Rattus norvegicus: one gene and its partner. The protein of the gene in region 1 interacts with the protein of each later gene in a pairwise test. Links are inferred from orthologs where the notes say so. Each region holds a gene or a part of one and is shown in the gene's direction. Other genes may lie near its edges.

The links.
Region 2: the proteins of Cask (region 1) and Tbr1 interact in a two-hybrid assay, tested with the Homo sapiens proteins (2 studies listed by BioGRID and IntAct). The link is inferred for Rattus norvegicus from reciprocal best matches to the Homo sapiens genes CASK and TBR1.

The regions. Positions count from the first base shown.
Region 1 is NC_086039.1:11,802,632-11,806,447, forward strand, and holds part of Cask (peripheral plasma membrane protein CASK), read left to right. Parts: intron 1-2,055; coding exon 2,056-2,178; intron 2,179-3,816. UniProt on the Homo sapiens protein: Multidomain scaffolding Mg(2+)-independent protein kinase that catalyzes the phosphotransfer from ATP to proteins such as NRXN1, and plays a role in synaptic transmembrane protein anchoring and ion channel trafficking.
Region 2 is NC_086021.1:66,758,357-66,762,702, forward strand, and holds the start of Tbr1 (T-box brain protein 1), read left to right. Parts: upstream 1-1,446; 5' UTR 1,447-1,701; coding exon 1,702-2,393; intron 2,394-2,967; coding exon 2,968-3,122; intron 3,123-3,697; coding exon 3,698-3,819; intron 3,820-4,346. UniProt on the Homo sapiens protein: Transcriptional repressor involved in multiple aspects of cortical development, including neuronal migration, laminar and areal identity, and axonal projection.

The DNA.
Region 1 (3,816 bases):
ATCATCTCAATACCCTGATAGTACTTATCAAAAGAAGCAGTCAAATCCTGATCTTGGACATGTGTAAAGGGAAGCTCGATGAAATCACATGAGACCCAGGATAGGGAAGAAGGGTGTTTTAACCAGGTTTCTACTGCTGTGATAACACCATGGCTAATAGCAAATTGTGGAGGAAAGGGTTTATTTGGCTTACAGGTTACAGTCCATAATTGGGGAAATCCAAGACAGGGACTTGGAGGCAGAGAGTGAAGCAGAGGCCATGGAGGAATGTTGATTATGGCCTTGTGCCCCATGGCTTTGTCAGTCCGCATTGTTTTTTATGCAACCCAGGATGACCAGTTGTGGTCCTCCCCTCCCACATCAATCATTAATCAAGACAATCCCACAGGCTTACCTACAGACCAATCTGATGGAGGCGTTTTCTCACTTGAGCTCCCCCTTCCTAGATAACTAGCTTGTGACAGGTTGGGGAAAAAGACAGGGGAGCTTATCTATCTAGGTAATGCCTAATCAGTCACCACCATGAATTTCAGACAAGTCCACTGACCACAATTCTGATAAAATGACAATATTTAAGCAGTCCCATGCCAGTTTCCTCATGGGATTCAACAAATGGAAGTGATTGCTGTAGTAATTTTGCCTCTCAGAAAAGGAAAGTAGAACACTGTCCAACTGTAAGAGCTCTCCCTAGTATGCAGATGCTTTGCCCTCCCCATCTGTAAGTTCAAAGCCTCACCTGAGCCAAAGCTCTGTGTCTGTTGCCAGCCCTCAGCTGAACTGGAATGATTCCTTTATGCTGGGATGCAAGTACTGTGATTTTGTTTGCCTTTAAATTATAATATTCATTCTTCATCATTTTCTCTTAAGAGGTAACATAGATCGCTAATGGTTAAGGCCAGCACACTGAGCCAGAGATGTAGTTCCTTGGCAGAGCACATGCACCACGGTTCTGTCTCCAACACTGACAAACAACAGCAGCAGTTACAAAAAAAACTGGCTACTGTATGAAGCTCCTGGCACCAGGCAGCTCCCATATGGTCATTCAATCAGGCAACTTCCACTTTTGCCACTGCCTCCAGTTCCCACTTCCCTTCCCAGCTCCGAGCTCTGAGTGTTTTTCTCATTTCTGACCTTAGACATAACCCTTTCTCCAGGAGCCTTCTGGTCTTTCCCTCAAACATCCATAGCCATTATCAAAGAGACGTGAAAAATGTGTAATTCTTTTTGTTTACTTTTACTCAGTTTTACCACACGAATTAGTCGTCCCATCTCTAAAACAGAGAGCTTCACTGAGTACAGTATACAAGTGAAACTAGCTATTTTATGATGATAGTAATATTTTTCCTTAGATATTGAAATACCCCGGTCAGAATATCCAATTAATGATTTTAATAGCCTCACAATTAATATTGCCCCAGTTTTGTTTTAGGGCTTGTGCGTATGTTTCTTTCTTCCTTTAGGAATTTTTACCCTGTCTAGGAATTCCCTTGCCTTAGTGTCTCAGGTGCTAAGATTATACTGGTGCATACCACACTCAACACCTGATCCTAACGTTGGAAGACAGTAGTTTTCAAATGTTTCTTTAGCTGGGAATGATGGCAGAGACCTGTAACGTCGTCACTTAAGAGGCTAGGGTAGAAGCAACTGGAGGTTCAAGGTCTACCTTGGCTACACAGTGAGTTCTAGTCCATCCTGTGCTTAAGGAAACCTTGTCTCCAAAAAAGAATCGTCCTTTAATTTTTTTCACTTCAAATTTATTTCAGTACTTTATCAGTATATTCTGGCCTTTTTAGCTGAGAATCAAAAACTAGAAATCAGAATCATGAGCAGACCTTTCAAATATTGAAAATATTACAATATATCGATATCAACAGAAAAATTCCTGATATAAATAATAAGGAACAAAACCACAAAGCATTGCATGTGTCTTCTTCCTTGGGAAAACAGGTCTGTTAATCTGTGTTCTTTGCCCTGAGAATATTACACTGAAATAGTATAATACTAAGTGTTGACTTCTTGAAGGTAACCATAGAGCTTTCCTTCTTTCCTTCTCAGATGAATCCAAGGCAGTGGAGCCATATCTCTGAAAGTGCCAAAGACCTAGTGCGCCGCATGCTGATGCTGGATCCTGCTGAAAGGATCACTGTTTATGAAGCACTGAATCACCCATGGCTTAAGGTACCGTTGCTCCCAGGTCACCAGCCACACTGGCCTTAAAGGATTCTCCAAGAGGGACCTGTCACTTTTCTCAGCCTTGCCATCAGTTTTGTCCATTGTGTTTGCTGTCTTCCACCTTCTCTGGGACGTGTATGGTATTGGACTGAACACAAAATCAAATTAAGGCAGGCTGTTGTCCAGCAACACATGTACCAAAGACGGAAAGGAGCATCTAAAGTAACCATTTCATCTTACATTATCTTTATGTCACATATGACTATATACTTTGTAGGATTTCACCGGGTTCCAATAGGCACTAAGTGTAGACTTACAATTTTAAGGGAGAGACACATTCAGAAGTTTTTTAAATATCAGAAAATAGTATTGTTTCATTAAAGCATTGTGCTGTAATTCCAGGAAATTCTTGCTTCATAACATCCTCAAGAGATGTTCAGAATTTTGCTGTGAGTCACAAAACTTGTTATTGTTGGAGCCAAGATTTCAGTTCACCCTACTGCTACCTATTATTAATGCTATATATCTGTCCCTTTCACTGACTAGATGACATTGCTCCAGCCACTTCCCTCTTTCCTACATTCTCAGTTTTCTGGATCTTTTGGATTTAACATGTGATTGTTTTTATTGCTTGCATTCACATTCACGCATGAACATCTGCCTTCTCTTGACCCTACAAATTCTTCCAGCTTCTGCCCCCATTCTTTGGTCCTCTCAATTGCAAAACTAAAAAGAATTATCTTGTACCCATTTCTCCAGTCTTTCCCAACCCTATCTCTTGAGCTCATATGTTGTCAGGATCTCAATCATACCAATCCCACTAAAACAATTCTTATTAGCTATGGGTATGCCTCAGTACAGTCCTTGCCTAGCATGTGCAAGACCCTGAGTTTCAACCCAGAACCTCCAAAACTCAAAAGAAAAACAACTCTTGCCTAGTCACTGCTGACCTTCACATTGCTAAGTCTAATGATCAAATTCCAAAGTCACAATTTCTTGATCTGTTGACAGCATTTGACATCCATCTCCTGAAACTTTCTTTCCCTGGCTCCCATGATACCTACCCTCTGTTTCCCTTCTGCTAGTCTGGCTGCTTCTTCTCCAGTCCTACAGATTTTGTGTCGCCTCCTTACACCACATCACATGGATATGCCACTGACTGGTCTCCATCCCAGCTCACTCTATACTTGTTGGAAACCTCATTGAGTTTGACTGCCTTTAAGTATCTGTACATGATGAGTCCTAAATCTAGGCCTCTCTCCTGAAGTATTCTTCCTTAACCCACTGTCTAACTGGGTTTCCTGATAGATTGCTGGTTTAATCCTTAGTCTCCTTTGCCTCAGTTTCTTTTATTCTGGCCTCCTTGCTGATCCTTGGACAACAGGTACATCATTACCTCAACACTCCTGCAGTAATTATACTGTCTCCCTAGAACATTCTTCCTCTAGGCCACTTTGTGGTTTATTCCCTCACATCAGATCCATATTTAACTACCAGCTTCTTGGTAAAATCTTCCCTGGTGACTATTATATCATGATGCTTCCTCAGAGTTTATGCAAGACACTAAGATATGTAAAAATATCAGTCAATAATATATCTTAGTGACTATGATGTAGAATGATATTATAGAGCAATTTTGACATT
Region 2 (4,346 bases), on another chromosome or scaffold:
CCCCGCCTGCCTGAGGCAAGGGTGGAGTGTGAGCCTCTCCAGCCTGAGCCAGACAGGTCGCCTGGCACTCTCTTAAGTCCCCCGAGCTCGCCGCCTCTCCACCACCTTGCAGGCCAAGCTGAGCTATGCCTGGGGTTGGCTTTGCATTTCTGCGCCTCTTGCCTTCAGGAAGGAAAGCTACGGAGCAGGTTGGCCATGTCTAGACAGCAGCTCTGGGTTTGTCATCTCAGGTGCTCTTGGCCTGAGGCTGGCCGCTGGCCTCCGTGAAGCAGATAGTAGGAGATCTTTTCTCCCTAAAACTCAGTTGCTTGGGGACTCATGTTACTTGTGCCAAAATTTCCTTAAATCGATTCTTTTCGCTAATCCTCTTTTAAAAATTACTGGCATGGATTCTTTTTCTCTCCCTCTGGATTATGTAAACATTACACACACACACACACACACACACACACACACACACACACACACACACACACACACCAGTAAGATCATCGCGTTGACACCACTTCCACTCTGTCTCCCCAGATCAACGCTTCTAGCGAACCCATTTGCGCTGGGGACTCAGCCCTCTCTCTTTTTTCCTGGCGAGGCTTATGAACCTGTCACCAAGCCAGTGCCTCCAAAAAGGAGGAAGTGCGGTGGGACTCAAAGGATACATGGCGCCCGCCCCCAGCTAGCTGCTCTTCAGATGATCTGCAACCAAGTTGGCTGATAAAATATTTAGTAACGACCCAGTAAACATGACTGCAAATACATTAAAGCACTTCAGCGCCACGGCTTATGATTATTTCAAAACTTAAAAAGGAGATCATAGATTGTCACTGTTTCTGTACCCTAGCCGGAAACCGAACCTTCCTGAGGTGGGTTGATGGGTGGGCTAGCCGCTTCGCCTCCTTATCTCTCTTAAGGCTGTGGCTTTCAGCGGCTGGAGGTTTGTTGATTTATTTATTTATTCGTGTAGTTTAAAGTGGGGGAGGGGGCGTCAAGGACACGCAGCACCGACTCAACAAAGCACAGGCTCAGGTGTGTATGCTTCTGCGTATTAACTGGAAAAGACAGACTCTGGAAGTTTTACAGGGCGAGAAGAGGCCACCGGCTCGCGCTTTGTATACTTTGCACTTGAAATCGTTACATTCAACTGAATATTTGGCTCATTCAGATCCGAAAAGTCTCCTAGCATCATCGAATTCCCTCCTCCACCCCTCCTCTCTAAAGAGAGAAGGGGGGGGGGGTTAGGAAATGTTTAGTAAATTGCACATCTTTGAATCTTCCTAAAGCAGTGGTCACAAAGCTTAAAGGTGACATAACAGAGCTCACGTAAACCAACACACTTTCCCCACCCCCCAAGCCAACAATAAAATCATCCCCTTCAATTTGCCATGATCGTCGCGACCAGGAGCCAGGTGATTATCCTAATTAATGTCTATCTAATTAAATTACTGTCAGCAGCTAACCAATGGCAGGAGCCGTTTCATCGGCTGCATAAGCAGCAAGATCAAAAGTGAGCCTTTTCTGATTGCTGCATAGTGTCAATTGGCCAATCTCTTCTCCCAGGGAAAAAAAAAAGTAAATCAAACCTTTGAGAAGCATTTGCTGGTTGAAGTGCTTTCTGTCTAGTGAGGGGTCTGTGGATTCCTAGTTTATGATAAACAGGACTTTAAAACCCAGGGACGGGAGGGCCAGCCTTCAGGTTCTAGAGCTATGCAGCTGGAGCATTGCCTCTCTCCTTCTATCATGCTCTCCAAGAAATTTCTCAATGTGAGCAGCAGCTACCCACATTCGGGCGGATCTGAGCTTGTCTTGCATGATCATCCCATTATCTCGACCACTGACAACCTGGAGAGAAGTTCACCTTTGAAAAAAATTACCAGGGGGATGACGAATCAGTCAGATACAGACAATTTTCCTGACTCCAAGGACTCACCAGGGGACGTCCAGAGAAGTAAACTCTCTCCTGTCTTGGACGGGGTCTCTGAGCTTCGTCACAGTTTCGATGGCTCTGCTGCAGATCGTTACCTCCTCTCTCAGTCCAGCCAGCCACAGTCTGCGGCCACCGCTCCCAGTGCCATGTTCCCGTACCCCGGCCAGCACGGACCGGCGCATCCCGCCTTCTCCATCGGCAGCCCCAGTCGCTACATGGCCCACCACCCGGTCATCACCAACGGAGCTTACAACAGCCTGCTGTCCAACTCTTCGCCGCAGGGCTACCCCACCGCCGGCTACCCCTACCCACAGCAGTACGGCCACTCCTACCAAGGAGCCCCATTCTACCAGTTCTCCTCCACCCAGCCCGGGTTGGTGCCCGGCAAGGCGCAGGTATACCTGTGCAACAGGCCACTTTGGCTGAAATTTCATCGGCATCAAACGGAGATGATCATCACTAAACAGGGAAGGTAATGCTACTTTTCTTGGCTGCCGCTGTTCCAGGCGTGACCCTGGGCGAACGCACCCAAGTTGTGACCGCCGGGCAGCGACTATGTGGGGTCGGGGAGCGGAGTGGAAAGGCGCTCGGGTGCGCCCTGGAGTTGGCTGGTTTTGGAAAAGGGGAAAGTGGAAGGGATAATAACCACCGTGGTGATGTTTGGTGGCGGGGAGCCTGCTGTGCCAATGCGGTCGGAGAACCAGTCGGTGGCTGGAGCAAGACGAAGAGCCGTGGCCGCTAACAGGCTTTCAGAGCAACTCATCGAAGCTGGCCTGTGCCGACAGGTGGAGAAGCAGGCCGCCAACCCGGCTCTCTACCGAGCAATCCGTCCCCCAACTCCAGAGCGCTCGGTGCTCTCCCCGACTTCGGTCCTACATCTTCCCTTCTCCCACTCTCCCTTTCTAGATCAGCAAACATTCGTTCAGACACGCGGCGAGGACAAGTTTTGCTTAGCTTTCTGGCGCCCCGCTTCTTGCAGCATTTAATCTTTAACATTTATTTTCTTTTTTTCCCCCTTGCTTTCTCTCTCTTTTTAATTCAAACAGGCGCATGTTTCCCTTTTTGAGTTTTAACATTTCTGGTCTCGATCCCACCGCTCATTACAATATTTTTGTGGATGTGATTTTGGCGGATCCCAATCACTGGAGGTTTCAAGGAGGCAAATGGGTTCCTTGTGGCAAAGCGGACACCAATGTGCAAGGCAAGTCCTTCCAATTAACACGTTTTCTTGACACTTATTTAGGTGAGAATGATTAATTAAAGCCTTTTGTGGACTGGCTCGAGCGACTTTTTAAAACGGTCGGCCAATGACTTCCTAAAGAAGAGAGGGACAGGGGACAGACTGAGCGGCAAGAAAGGGGAGGATTATGCAAAAGCTATTTTAATCATTCCCAGTTAATGGGAAGAAATCGCGGCTTAAAAAAAAAAAAAAAAAAGAAGCCCAGCTAATGGTCCTCTCTGTGAAGGTGTGTGTGTGTGTGTGTGTGTGTGTGTGTGTGTGTGTGTGTGTGTGTGATATGTGGTACAGAGTTGGGACTGGACAGTAAAGCTATTTTAATAATCTCCAGTTAAGAGAAGAAAGTATGCCCCCCTCCAAAAAAAAAAACAGGTAATGGGTTTCATTGTGAAGTGAGGTGTGTGTGTGTGTGTATGTGTGTGTGTGTGTGTGTGTGTGTGTGTGTGTGTGTGTGTGTGTGTGAGTGTTTCGTGTATTAAGGAGTTGGGACTGGGCAGTGCCCAGAGCAGCATATGTAAACAAGCTATTTCTTTATTAAGGAAACCGGGTCTATATGCATCCGGATTCCCCCAACACTGGGGCTCACTGGATGCGGCAAGAAATCTCGTTTGGAAAATTAAAACTTACCAACAACAAGGGAGCATCAAACAACAATGGGCAGGTCAGTCTCTCTCTCTCTCTCTCTCTCTCTCTCTCTCTCTCTCTCTCTCTCTCTCTTTCTCTCTCTCTCTCTCTCTCTCTCTCTCTCTCTCTCTCTCTCTCTGTAACACACACCCTTCTTTAGTTTACAGCAGCAAAGAAACACGGTAGAATTTATTTCGATCAATGAAGACTTCAAATATCACAATTCTGCCTCCCCAAATTATATTTAACCCATAAAGTTGTTCTCTTTGCCTCCTATCTGACTTTTTTCTGGAATTCACCTTTCCAGAAGCAAATACTGGTTGATTTCGAAAGGAAACAGAGTTGAGATTTGTAGGTTGTGAAAAATCTTTGTTCCTCTTCTAAGGAGGACCAGGGGAAAGGATTGTCTTTCGGGCTTCATTATCCTCAGTGCCCGGAGGATCCTGGCTTCCAAAGGTACCTGGGCCAGGGTATCCTGGCTACCCTGTCACCAGGAGGCGAGTCCCACAGCCAGTTTGGAGCAGCGGCCTCCAGTTGGCTCAGCCTGGCCCAGAGCGAGCCCCC